Linked DNA regions of Caenorhabditis elegans. The protein of the gene in region 1 purifies or fractionates together with the protein of each later gene. This does not show direct contact. Each region holds a gene or a part of one and is shown in the gene's direction. Other genes may lie near its edges.

Region 1 (4,165 bases):
TCTCTTTCTTAGTGGTGGAATTTTACAAAAAATTTAAAATGGTTTGATTTCAGCAAACTGTTTCTGTCCAAGAACTTGGATTCAATACAGGCCAAGCTATGACGACGAGAAGTCTTATAAATTTGGAATTTGCATCCGAGCCGAAACTATAACTGCATCATGGGCAAGTGCAAAGATCGCTTGCCAGAATAGCATTAAATATGGTTACCTTGTAACCGAGTTTGATGATCGGAAGCATGATTTTTTGTTCAGTGAGTCATTCATACAAGTTTTCCAGTGCCAAAGACTTTGCACAATATTTAGAATTCCAGGAATAGCTCTGAACAATGCTGAATTCACTGAACCTTACGCTTATCACACCGGGTTGAGCTATGTCAACGGAGCATGGAGATGGCAGCAGCCAGAAGGACACCCACTCATTTTGGTATAACAGCTTTAGCTTTATTTTTCCTCTCTGTCTGGCAACTCAATATACTGTAATTCCAGCAAAATGGAAGTTACTCGCATTGGAATCCAACATATCCGAACACCCCATTCACCAACACCGTTGTCGTTAATCATCAGCATAACTCGAATCTAGACGTCGGATGGCAAAACATCAATGGATACCGAGAAAATGAGAATTATATGTGTGAAGTTGCATCATGTGATACTGATAAATATTGTGATTGAATTTATTGTACATATATGTATGTATTTTGAATTAGTTTGCTTATCGAAGTTTACCAATTTTCAGAAAATCGTACTTAGGTAGTATAGAGTATCGAAATCTGAGACTTTGCTGTTTTGGAGCCAAAATTACCCAAAAAACCGAATTTCGTATTGAAACGTTTTGAAAATTTCTTTTAAAAAAGTTATGGCGGTTCAAAGTTCTAGAAAAAAGGATTATTTTCAGCTAAAATAACATTGTTTGGAACTTAATTTTTGATTCAATTGTCACTCTTTAATAGATATTGTGGTCTTTTACTAGGAGTTTATTCGTTGATTTAAGTCCTTTTTCGGCCAGTGGGGCACAAACAAAAATTACATTTTTGTGTCTCACAGACCTTGAATGTACTCAAATCAACGAATAAACTCCTAATAAAAGAACATAATATTTATTAAACAGTTTAAATTAAATATGCTGTGACACCGAGAAGTTGACAAAAATTTTGATTTTACAATTAGCTAAAAAACTAGCCTTTTTTTCATAATTTTGAACCTCCATAACTTTTTTTTTCGAGGAATTTTCGAAACGTCTCATTACGAAATTCGGTAGTTTTGGGTCATTTTGGGTCTAAAAAAACAAAGTCTCAAATTTCGGTACTCCACCTTTAATGGTGTTCGGGACCTCAATATGTGCCTATTTTGTATAAAATCCCACTAATGTTTCGTAAAACAATATCCGAATCAATGCCGACACAGAAATATTTTTCTTCATAACTATAGGGAATATACATAACAGTTAATTTGAAGACACATGCCTTTTAATTTATCAGAAAGTCGAACCACACAATGATGTCAAACTAATACTCATTATCAAATGTCAATAATGAGACTGATTGCATTGCAAAAAAGTTTAAAAGACGATCGAAACTGCTTCTTCATTTTTCAGCAGCGCCATGTGGAAAGTGCTTGTGTTGCTCTGTCTGGGTAAGATTTTCTAAGGACTGTTTTTTACGGGTCAATATACTTTCAGCAGCATCGCCAACTCTATCCGTCAGTGACAGACGATGCGGCACGAACGCCAACAAACTTTGGCTGGATGTGGTATTTGTCATTGACAACTGCAAAATAGGAAGTATGAACCTTGTCTATCAGACGATTTCCAGTCTGTTCAGCAAGCAACTGCAAATTGGAACTGGGTATGATGACCCGAGAAGTACCCGAGTCGGATTTATCACCTATAACTGGAATGCGACTGATGTGAGTTTCAAGTTATAGTTAATGTACGAGTGAGACACTAAAAATGAAATGTTTCAGGTCGCAGACTTCTACAAACTTCAATCTTGGGCCGACTTGAACAGTCAGATTCAGCGCCTCCAATACACTCCACAATCAAGCTCCCCAGCTAGCAGAATGGATACGTAAGTGGTGGCAGAGTTTTGGAATCTAAAAATCTAGGCCATCTGATTTCAGAGGTCTTAACGCCGCAATCGGAATGATTGATGCGACCGCGGGATTTCGTGACAATTACAAGAAAATTGTAATTGTATTTACATCGGTTCATGGATCTTATAAAAGCAATCAACCTCGTGATGTGTCGAAAATTCTTAAAAGCCGCGGGATCCCGGTGGTGACTGTGAATACTGGGTCAAGTTCCGATACTCAGGCGTATCTCAAGCAGATTGCCAGCGACAATATGAGCTTCGCAATTGCCGACGGAAATGTTACCCAAGAGATTTTGAAAGCAATGACGGATAGTAAGTTTGAAAGGTCCAGCTCACGTGGTGCCAAAGTGTCCCATTTTGGTTTGATCTTCGAGAAATGACAGACTTTTCAACTTATTTCGCATGGTTAAGAGTGTGCTGACGTCACATTTTTCTGGAAGGAAAAATTCCCGCATTTATCGTAGATCAAACCGCAACGAGGCAGCCTTACACCACGTAACTTTTCTCCGTTATTCAGCAAACTGCTTCTGCGAACAAGGTTGGGTCCAATACAATTATCCATGGAATAACCTTCAAAATCGCTACGGAACTTGCCTTTACACTGACACAACCGATTATTCCAGTAGAGATGGCGCAAAAAGCAAATGTCGACAATATAGTCCGAAGAGTTATTTGGTGAATGAGTTGGATCAACAGAAGCGGGATTTCAATTTCAGTGAATTTTCGTGACTTTTTTTTTGAAATAATACGGGAACACAAAATTCGGAGAATTCGTATTGCACAACATATTTGACGCGCAAAATATCTCGTAGCAAAAACTACAGTAATCCTTTAAATGAATACTGTAGCGCTTGTGTCGATTTACGCGATTCTGAATTTTCTGTAGTATTTCGTTTTTTCAAAATTATTTTTGGGTTTTTCAAAAAATATTTTTTCGATTAATGAATGATTTCCGATTACCGTAAATCGACACAAGCGCTACAGTAGTTCTTCTAAAGAATTACGGTAGTTTTCGCTACGAGATATTTTGCGCGTCAAATATGTTGCGCAATACACATTCTCAGAATTTCGTGTTCCCCTAATAAATATGAATTTAAGATTTGGTCAATTCCGACTCCACTAAACCGGTCAACGCATTTTACAATGGTCTATTAAATCTCAATGGTAACTGGTATTGGGATCAGCCAAACGATAGATCACCGATTCCGGTACTCACTTCTGTGTATTTTTTTTGCTTGAAAACTATAAACTATATTTCTAGCTCGACCCCAACTCTGGAGCTCCACCAACTCGCAACGCTTGTGTTGCTGATATGAAGTATTCAGATGGAACTGTAAGGCTAACTTTTTTAGAACAAGGGCTTGAGAAAGACTTGGATTTTCAGACCGCGTGGACTCCGGTGAGCTGTGCGAATAACTTCCGATTCATCTGTGAGCAGGTCGCTTGTGATACTGATAATTATTGTGATGGTGTTTGAAAAATTGTGGAGAAAATATAAAGTTATTATTAATCGCATTGCTTTTAAATTTCTGAATATTTAGCACATTGAAAATTAAATTATTAAGGACAATAAATATCATCGAGCCTATACCATTCATTTTTCTGAGATAATGTACTTATCAAAACCAAATAAACCGAGATATAACTTTTCAAAGAAATGTAGTCGTGCGAAATCAGGGGTGGGCGGCAATTGCCGTTCGGCAAATTGGCAACTTGCCTGCTTGCCGATTTGCCGGAAATTTTTAATTCCGGCAATTTGCCTGCTTGCCGATTTGCCGGAAATTTTTAATTCCGGCAATTTGCCTGCTTGCCGATTTGCCGGAAATTTTTAATACCGGTAAGTCGCCGAATTGCCGGTTTGCCGATTTGCCGGAAATTTTCATTTTCGGCAAATTGCCGAATTGCCGATTCGCCGGATATCAGATTTGCTGGAAATATTTAGAGGGATCTTTTTATAAGACAAAAGCATTTAAAACTGTGTCTTTTTGAAATTTAAAATAAAAAAAAATCAATTTTTCCGAAAATTTTCGGCTAATTGCCGTTTTTCCGGCAAATTCGGGAAAGCGGCAATTTGC
Region 2 (5,152 bases), on another chromosome or scaffold:
CTAATGTGAGCCTTCAAAGAGTACAGTAGCGGAATGTTCACAATTTTTGGCTATGTATTTTTTTAACAATTGAAGCAATCAAAACATATTTTAACAAAAAATACGGGAAAAATTAAATTCGCACACATTTTTGTCTTTAACGAAAGATTCTTGCGTCAAAAATCGCAAGTTTTTGCCTCAGAGTAATAATAAGCTAAACATTTTAACCCCTCATCACAAGTGGAAGCTTACAAAAAATAAAAATTTTGCAGAGAAATGTCAAAGAAATTGAAGCCATTCGAAATTTTAGAGGATTCGTGTGCATCAGTATGTATTTGGCTTAACGGTGAACCTACGGCAATCAGCAATCGCGCTGAAAATTTATGGAATAAGGCCAAATATCGAGTTGCAACTGATGGAGCTGTTAATGAGATTCTTAAAAGGTGATCTAGGATCCAGAAATTGAAAATTATCGTAAACCGAGTTTTGGATTTCAGAAAGAGTTTCGTCGAATGGCCTCATATTATCTGCGGAGATTTCGATTCAATAAATAAACAGATTGATACAAAAAATGCAAAGTTAGTTTAAATTCTACTGAAATTAAAAATTAATATAGGCATTACTCAACTTCATTGTAATCGTGTTTCATGTTTGATAACATCTTCTATTAATGAGCAATGATAGAATTACTGTAGGGTTACTGTAGTGATCACAAAGAATTATTACTGTAGCGGCTGTTGAATATTAGCTAAAAGAATATATAGGCGTGAACGTTGAAAATAAAATTAAAATATTATTGAGTTGTGTTTTTAATACTGGAAGACTGAAAGCTACAATTCGTTGAGAAGAGTGTATTGACCAGGTCATAATAATGATTTTGCACTTTTTTTGGTATTTCTGGCTTGCCAACTAAATGTTATTCATTCTGTGTTCAGGACTAAAAAAATAAAAATATTTTGTCGAAAATTGTTCTTAATGTTGTTTTAGAGTCGTCCATCTGCCTGATCAAGACTACACAGATCTCTCGAAGAGCGTTCAGTGGTGCTTAGAGCAGAAAACACTAACAAGCTGGGAATTCGAGAATATCGTTGTTCTAGGAGGTCTCAATGGACGATTTGATCACACCATGTCAACGTTATCATCTTTAATAAGATTCGTTGATTCTCAAACTCCTGTGATCGTTTTGGATTCTAGAAATTTGGTTCTCGCTGTTCCTACAGTAATCCTTGGCAGGCCTATGTGAACATTAAGAGTTAAATTCAGGGGGATTCAAATCTTGATGTCAATCTTGAAATGACAACAAAAATGTGTGGAATCATTCCAATTGTTCAAAAGGAGACAATCGTCAGTTCAATTGGACTAAAATATGAAATGGGTATAATCCAATGTTTCAACATCATTTCTATTAAACGTTTCCATTTCAGAAAACCTTGCTCTTGAATTTGGAAAACTTATCAGCACGTCGAATGAAGTTACCACGAGCCAAGTATTTTTGAAATCTTCGTCGTCTCTGATTTTTTCAATTGAACTTGAAAATTGGGTCTACAAACTTGATTCTCTATAGTATCACATTTTATGGTCCCTCTTAATTCACAACTTTTCATTCCTTTGCTATTCAACTGTTCTATTTTCTTTTTATTCCATTTTTCCTAGTTTTCACCGGTACTATATAATTATCTACAATATTATAATACACTTTATTCCCTGTACCATTTTGTGTTGAAAACGAATTAATAAAAATAAAAACGAATTAATAGTATGAGATTAAAATTTTCATTTTAAAAGCAATGTTATTTGTTTAAAAAATATCCAATTCTAATGAATTATCTGCGAATATCCGATAGCGATTTCAAAAATCTAATGAAAATTGAAATTCAACTTTAAATCATTTGTAGATCAATTTTCTGATGCTTCTATCCACTTTCAAACGACATCTACCAATCAGGCGTCTCTTCTCATCAAATAAATTTGATCTGATTGTAATTGGAGCAGGATCTGGAGGACTTTCTTGTTCTAAAAGAGCAGCTGATCTTGGAGCAAACGTGGCATTAATTGATGCAGTTGAGCCAACTCCACATGGACATTCATGGGGAATCGGAGGAACTTGTGCAAATGTCGGATGCATTCCTAAAAAGTTAATGCACCAAGCAGCAATCGTCGGGAAAGAGGCAGGAATAATATTATAAATATTTAGAGCACTAAATTCAAAATTCCAGCTAAAACACGCAGACAAATATGGCTGGAATGGCATAGATCAAGAGAAAATCAAACATGATTGGAATGTGTTGTCAAAGAATGTGAATGATCGAGTAAAAGCAAACAATTGGATTTATAGAGTTCAATTAAATCAGAAGTATTTTTTTTAATTTTGTGGAAATTTTTATTTTTATGAAATTTAGAAAAATCAATTACTTCAATGCCTATGCCGAGTTTGTGGATAAAGACAAGATTGTGATAACTGGTACAGACAAAAATAAAACCAAGGTACGTTTGGAAAAATGAAAAAAGAAGTTTTAAAAAATTTGTTCCGTATACCCAAAAGTTTTGCGGCTTTTCGGAGGAGAATACGGTATCAGGTCTCGACACGACAATATAGTTTTCCGAAAAAACATAATTTATTCTAACAAGTTGTGATAAAATCTATAAAAATAATCTATAAAAATTCCGTAGCAACAAATGTTTGAGATGACAGTACTCGTTAAAGGCACAACTTTTCGCATTTGACAAAAATTTGTCGCGTCGAGACCTGGTACCGCATTTTTGGCGCAAACTTTAGGTAATAATAATATTGCTAGGAAACGGAAAATTAAAAAATTTCATCCTAGATTTTCAGAATTTTCTTTCCGCACCGAATGTAGTCATCTCAACAGGACTCCGTCCCAAATATCCAAATATTCCTGGTGCTGAACTTGGAATCACTTCAGACGATCTTTTTACACTGGCATCAGTTCCCGGAAAAACTTTGATTGTTGGTGGAGGATATGTTGCATTGGAATGTGCTGGATTTCTTTCTGCATTCAATCAAAATGTTGAAGTTCTTGTGAGATCAATTCCTTTGAAGGGTTTTGATAGAGATTGTGTGCATTTTGTCATGGAGCATCTGAAAACAACTGGAGTGAAAGTTAAGGAACACGTGGAAGTAGAACGTGTAGAAGCAGTTGGCAGTAAGAAGAAGGTTACATTCACTGGAAATGGTGGTGTTGAAGAATATGATACAGTTATTTGGGCGGCTGGTAGAGTTCCAAATTTGAAAAGTTTGAATTTGGATAATGCTGGAGTGAGGACTGATAAGAGATCTGGGAAGATTCTAGCAGATGAATTTGATAGAGCTTCCTGTAATGGTGTATATGCCGTTGGAGATATTGTTCAGGTACGATAAAAAAAGTAACATTTTTTTAAAATAAAAATGATAGTATTCAGGATCGCCAAGAGCTCACGCCACTTGCTATTCAATCCGGAAAACTTCTAGCTGATCGTCTTTTTTCAAATTCCAAACAAATAGTTCGATTCGATGGAGTTGCCACTACAGTATTCACGCCTCTTGAACTCTCAACCGTCGGGTTAACTGAGGAAGAAGCCATTCAGAAACATGGAGAAGATTCGATCGAAGTGTTTCATTCTCATTTTACTCCGTTTGAGTATGTTGTGCCACAGAATAAGGATAGCGGTTTTTGTTATGTGAAAGCCGTGTGTACAAGAGATGAATCGCAGAAAATTCTTGGTCTTCATTTTGTTGGACCAAATGCCGCAGAAGTAATTCAAGGTAATTGATTCAAAAAGAGAAATAGTCCGCCCCGCCCGTCACGAAAATGTTTTCTGAACACCTTCAATTTTGGAACAATGTTCGAAAAACCATAATCTGTTCGCAAAAACTTACGTGCTAAATCTGTTATTTTGAATTTTTTATCTTTTTCTTTATTGAATGAATAATATTACACATACGCAAAATTCTGCTATTTTTGCGCCAAAAATACGGCTTGATACGACAATTTTTAATGCAAAGAAAGTGTGCACCTTTAAATAATACTGAAAATTTAAACTTTCGCTGCTGTAGAATTTTTATCGATTTTTTAAAGATTTAATCACAACTTGAGACAATTAATAAATTTTTATCAAAAAGCTTTAAAAATCTACAAAATTTCTGCAGAATCGAGAGTCTGAAACTACAGTATTCTTTACAGGCGCGAAAAAATTTTATCGTGTCAAGTTCAGGTACCGTACTTTTGGCAATCAACTCACAATATTCTGCGGGTAGGTAATACTAACAACCTCGATAATCGATCAAGATACGAAAACTTTAAAAGCTAACCGATTGCACTAAATTATTTCAGGCTACGCAGTAGCATTCCGTGTTGGAATTTCAATGTCTGATCTTCAAAACACAATTGCCATTCATCCATGTTCTTCTGAAGAGTTCGTGAAGCTTCACATTACAAAACGATCTGGACAAGACCCAAGAACTCAGGGATGCTGTGGATAATTCAAAAAGTTTATTGACAAATCATTCAGTTTATTTATCAAAGTTAATTTACATCCTATTATCCTGGATACTAGTAATTATAATTAAACATAATAAATAGTACAAAATATTTGATTATCCTTTTTAAAAGATACCGGGAACTACATATTCTTAATGCGCATCGTGCTCATGGATGGGATCACATGTCTGACGAAGTGTCGAAATACGAGTTCCAGAAGTTGTTAGAATAGATATCACAGATGTTGTTGAACTCCATTTCTTCATTGGCTTCGAAACATTCTTCTTATGGAACTGGTGCTTCCGAAGCTCAGCCTTATAACGATCATCAAACATGATTACATAATTATCTGGCTCACAGAGTTGTACTCTTTGTTCCTTCTCTAATCCCCGCGTGAAAGCGTAAAAGTTTTTATAACCTCCTTCCAACAAATAAATCTCCTCATAATCACATCTCGGATAGATATTTGAATTCAGTTTTCTGTCCACTTCCCGAAGGTTGTTCGCCATGGTTGGTCCACGTTTTTGACTGTATTCACAGTAGAAAATGGGTATCCGGTTGATTTTCTTGGAACCATCTTTGTTGAAGAAGAAGTCTGCAGCAGTTTCTGGATTGAACAGGCTTTGAGCTCCCTGAAAAGATTTGCAGTTTTAACTTTCTGGTATTTTTTCAAAACAGTTATTATAATTCTTTTT
Region 3 (4,998 bases), 6.6 Mb from region 1:
AATAAAAGAACTCCAAGAATGATGAGAACACATCCAACCCATCCGATGACATACCAAGAGAATGCTGTGGAGGTAAGTGCACAGAATTGTTGCACATCTCCACCGCACATTCGAAGATTCTGAAATAATTCATTTGTTGACTTTAATTTTCTCAAAATGATAAAGTTGTTGTTCATAAACTTTAGGAAGAATACTCAAAAAAATCCCAAATTTTAACATTTCTCCAATTCAACCTACATATGTAAATGTGGAACTTATTAAATTGCTTTCTTTTGAGAATCCTAAAACTTAATACTCACCGAGTTGGCAAAGGACGAAACTAATGGCCAGAAAACATGAAGATCTATACAGTCACCATCTGTATATCCTGGAAGATTCATGCAGAGCCGATCGAAGAAATAATAAAATATACAAAGCCAAGATACAATTGAAATAATGAATAGCCATGCAATTATCTGAAAGTTAGTTTTAAAATTATACGTTTACTGAGCAATTCTTACTAGAAAGAAATCGATCAACATTGCGATGACGCATGCAAATTTTCCACCACAGCGAGCTTCATCGTCTGAAAATATTGTACATAAGTTCTCCTAGATCATTGTCATTTTGAACCTTTATACATAGTTTCTCTTGTTCCTCCAGTTGCAGTAAATCCGATGCATAAGAAGAAAAGTGAGAATAGTCCCATTAAAACTGCGATTACAATAAAGAAAACTTGAACCTTGTCAAGCCATGGCCAATCATTTATTTTCAGAGATCTTCTGACTTGCTCTGCAGTTGCATTAAATGCCCAGGACATCATAATTGCAAAGAGAATAACTCCAAGAATGCATAATAATGATCCAATAAGTGATGCATATGGTATTCGATGAAAACAGTCATCTTCTTCTGCGTCCGCATTCAAATGAACGACGGCGGCGTTCTGCGAACGTCTTTGCGCCGCCTCTTTCGTTGATCTTGACACTATTTTGACAGTTTGAAAAATATTATTTCAGATGAAAAATAAGAAACAAATGTAGCCGTGGAATAATTGTAATAAGCAAGTGCAAGCGGGCACCGGGGCAACAAAAAGGTATGTATGAGTGTGTTTGTTTGTATTGCGATCGAAATTGGAAACGGACGCGGAAAGGTGAGATAGTGGGTTGGGAACAAATTTAAATATTGAGACGCAGACAGCTCGCCACGGATGGTCAGTTTTAGCGGAGGAAAGCAGAAAGAGGAGAAGATGATGGTGAGTCATGTTTGCATGATCTTCGATGAGAATGTCGCAAGGTGCCATTTGAAAGTTGGAACAACTCATGTATGACGCAATTTTACATTTCCTCTGGGTGACTTGTGGTGTTATTTTCAATTTATTGAATCAGTAGGAAACACACACATTTTAAAATGAATGTGCATGCAATTGTGATGTACGATGAGCTGCAATCATGAACATCTGGGAAAAAGAGTTGAAGAATACAAAGGAGTCTGCTGCCGTTTCATTGAACACTTTTCAGCGGCACCTGCCAACCGGATATACATTGAGAATTTTTTTGAAAGTGGAAATATGAATATATACAGGTTACTGTTTTCTGAGAAATGGTTAAATTTTGTTAAAATTATATTCAGGAGTTCTTTTTTTCAAAGAACTTCTTAACTTTTTCATATATGGTGACATGGGTTTATCTATCACACAGCCTGAACGCGGTCTTCACAATTGATTTTTTGAGCATTTTTAGGTGGCATTAACTGTAGATGACCTCGTTTTCATCACCTCTCGCAAGCCCTTTTGAGTTTGAGAAAAGCTTATTGAGACTTATGTACTAATATCAAATATTATTCGCAGTAGAATTTGAGCGCTAAATAAATGAGTTGGTGTTTGTGCTCAGTTTACTTCACAATTTGCAAAAACGAAATACATATAAACACAGACTACACAAACTTGTTTGTCCCCTTTTTTACCAATTTGCTCGCCCTCTTATCTATGTCCTACGGTGTAAATTGGAAAACAGACTATCTTATCATTCTGAAAAACGATTTAACTTTAACATACATGTTACCTCATTTTTCTGCAGCGTTCTTCTTGAAAATGGCACGGTTTTTCCTTTTTTTGGCGTTTGTGGAAGTTAATTCTATTATTTCACCTCCTAATGAAATTATCGAAACATCTGTGGAAGTATTCAATCAGTGGAAAGAAACTAGAAATGCGTTTATGGATTCAATGGGTTAGTTTATTAATCGTTCCATCTAACCCTTCAAGTTCCGTGTTACAGAGTACCCAATGGGCTTTCCAAACTTCAATTGTCCCCAACCTCATCGAAAATCTTCCGAATCTGTACATCAGCTTCATCCATCACAAATTGGAGTGATAGCAGCACTAGGCGATTCTGTGTCAGTTGCACAAGCGGCGAAATCATCGTCAATTCTCGATTTATTTGATCAGTTTCCTGGTGTTTCGTTTGTAACAGGAGATGATGTAAAGCTGAATGAGCAAGCCACCTTTATTAGTAATAATTCGTTTTGACTTTCACTTACTTGCAACAGAAGCTTTTCAGATATTTTCCGTAAATTTGCACCGCGAATAAAAGGAGGATCCTCTGATTTTGTTCAAAAGTTTTACGACTTTAACATGGCGATTCCTGGCTCATTCAGCTCGGAGCTTCCCGAACAAGCGCTCAAATTAGCAAGTACATTGAAGAAAAAGCTGGGTAGAGAAACATCTGATACATGGAAATTCGTTAATATTTTCATCGGTCATAATGACTTGTGTAACATTTGCAATAATGAGGTAAAATAACCATTTCACATCGGAGCTAATTTTCATTTCCATTAAAAAATATTTCAGACTACCTTCGGGCCTGAAACATTTGGAAAGTCACTTCACTCGGCACTTACAATAATTCAAACAAATGTTCCAAAGGTATTCGTTAACATAATGCCACCAATAAATGTCAAAATTCACTCACAAGCTCACAAGTTGAGTAAGTTCTGCGAGTTTTCACATAGGTTTGTTTTTCAAAATTAAAAAAAAAATTAAACATATAATTACAGAAAAACATGCTCGTGTATTTTTGAATTAAATGAAAAAGAATATCAAAACATCAAGAAACAATTCGATGAACAATTGAATGAAGTTGTAGAACAATTCAATCAAAAATATGGAAATTCATCTACATTTGCTGTTGTGATTGCTCCAGCCATGGATCTAAAATCAATTCCGTTACTTAAAAACCAGCCGAATATTGGACTATTGGCACTCGATTGCTTCCATCTTTCTCCAATTGCTCATGATATTGCTGCGAAACAAATTTGGAAAGGATTGTTCGAACCAATTGATCAAAAAACAATCACTAATCAATTATCAGTTGGATTCGATAGATTCGTGTGTCCTCCTGTTGAATGTCCGTACCTAAGAACGATTCAAAACTCTGAAAACTGTGAGCCATCAAGAGAAATGAGATTTCTCCGAGTTCCTTCAGCTTTTGCAAGCTCTCCTGGTTTAAGCATGCCTCCATACATGATTCCTGTATTTTTCCTTTTTGGTGAGTTTGGTCTGGGAAAAAATACGTTGCTTATTTTTTTGTGAGGCGGCTTAGATTAAAAGCAGCTGCTATAATAATCAATAAAACCACTTTTCAAATATTTTCATTGGGAGAAAGTTTCCGTTTTCGCTTTTTCAGAGATAAGAGATATAAAATAAAGGGGCACCAATAAACATATTTTCTCAAAAACGCTAGACGCTAATTGCCTGCCCTCAAGGCACCTACGCCTGCGTCTTGTGTACTACCAAATTTGAACTTTTTCACTTTTGAAGATTATGTAAACATACTATAAGAAAAACGGTTTAAAAATATATCAAAAATACTCTGCACGGTGAAAAAATCTAACACCTGAGTTCAAGCTAAAGTTCAAGAAAAAAGGCATAGATGTAGGCAGGTAGATATTCTGTCACTTATGACTAAAAATATGTCTTAGCATTATTCAACTTTTTATATAAACCGAAAATATTTTGTTCCTAGGTACCGCTCTAATACTCCTATTTGTTCGTGCTTCCATCCGCAGTTCTACGACGTCTTCCGAGTTTTCCGATGAACGACATCATCTACTTCTTCCGCTGCGTGCCGACCTCAATGACAACATTTTCTAAATGGTTTCTAAAATGTACTCATGCCACTTGATGAGACAGTTGCGTGAACGATGAGAACGTCTAGATTTCCACTTTTTATAACAACTACCAGCACCCTTCTTACTCTTCCTAATGATGTCACACCTATGCGGGTTTTATTTCGAATGGCGTAATGCATTCTATCTCACTACATCCATTAATGTTGCCTACTGTATTTATTGTTTTGTGTAGACTACATATCAGTCCCTAGTGTAGTATCATAATGAAATGGCAAAGAGGAAATAAATGGAAGTGTGTCTGTATGTACATATATATCTCCAAAAAGCGATTCATTCAGAAAGAGACAGAATCGAAATTGAGAGAATGAAGAGGAGAAGGAAACCCGATTGTGATTACGTAACCGAGTTTCTTTCAGAATCAATCATAGTGGACAGAGGTGATAAGATAAATTGAGGTAAAAAGATCCGATGGACATGAGAACCAGAGATTTATTATTACGTCATCTAAAGTTCAAAATGGCTTTAAGAAGTTAGGATACTCGATCATAAAATGTTCTTATTAGGTGACACACATTTAGAATAATGAGTCCGATCATATATAGTCAGATATTCTCTTAGTTTTCCTCATGTTTCCATCAACTTTAGTGAAATTTTCCGAAGAAATCAAATCTGAGCCCCTGAAATTTCCATCAGAAACTGTTTCAGTACATTTTTTGCTGAATTCGGTATTGTTAGATTTTATTTTTTTAAATCTTTACAGATCATTTTTCCAAATAGTATGAGATTGTTTTTCTGGAACTCCAAATATTCAATCCTCAGGCTATGCATAGATTTCTAGGTTTGCTAGAGTTGATTGAGAAGTTGCGGCGAATTGTCGAGATTTCAGACCAATTA

Evidence for each region. Proteins that work in one complex are often made in the same cells at the same time.
Region 2: the proteins of clec-65 (region 1) and trxr-2 fractionate together in Caenorhabditis elegans (co-fractionation; one large-scale study listed by BioGRID). This does not show direct contact.
Region 3: the proteins of clec-65 (region 1) and F13H8.11 fractionate together in Caenorhabditis elegans (co-fractionation; one large-scale study listed by BioGRID). This does not show direct contact.

What each region holds. Positions count from the first base shown.
Region 1 is NC_003280.10:12,899,731-12,903,895, forward strand, and holds clec-65 (C-type lectin domain-containing protein), read left to right. Parts: upstream 1-1,594; 5' UTR 1,595-1,601; coding exon 1,602-1,632; intron 1,633-1,678; coding exon 1,679-1,905; intron 1,906-1,962; coding exon 1,963-2,066; intron 2,067-2,118; coding exon 2,119-2,402; intron 2,403-2,607; coding exon 2,608-2,805; intron 2,806-3,188; coding exon 3,189-3,298; intron 3,299-3,351; coding exon 3,352-3,423; intron 3,424-3,474; coding exon 3,475-3,567; 3' UTR 3,568-3,606; downstream 3,607-4,165. Other genes in the region: clec-64 (VWFA domain-containing protein), read left to right, coding at 54-251, 312-424, 487-672.
Region 2 is NC_003281.10:8,911,895-8,917,046, forward strand, and holds trxr-2 (putative glutathione reductase 2), read left to right. Parts: upstream 1-1,874; 5' UTR 1,875-1,886; coding exon 1,887-2,147; intron 2,148-2,195; coding exon 2,196-2,332; intron 2,333-2,378; coding exon 2,379-2,463; intron 2,464-2,812; coding exon 2,813-3,349; intron 3,350-3,399; coding exon 3,400-3,742; intron 3,743-4,310; coding exon 4,311-4,459; 3' UTR 4,460-4,565; downstream 4,566-5,152. Other genes in the region: tpk-1 (thiamine pyrophosphokinase 1), read left to right, coding at 256-422, 477-557, 967-1,198, 1,243-1,354, 1,404-1,543; M-phase inducer phosphatase cdc-25.3, read right to left, coding at 4,610-5,089.
Region 3 is NC_003280.10:6,257,026-6,262,023, reverse strand, and holds F13H8.11 (Lipase_GDSL domain-containing protein), read left to right. Parts: upstream 1-2,002; 5' UTR 2,003-2,068; coding exon 2,069-2,204; intron 2,205-2,252; coding exon 2,253-2,486; intron 2,487-2,534; coding exon 2,535-2,767; intron 2,768-2,824; coding exon 2,825-2,985; intron 2,986-3,030; coding exon 3,031-3,521; intron 3,522-3,998; coding exon 3,999-4,126; 3' UTR 4,127-4,411; downstream 4,412-4,998. Other genes in the region: nmgp-1 (Neuronal Membrane GlycoProtein), read right to left, coding at 1-119, 300-455, 501-565, 613-802.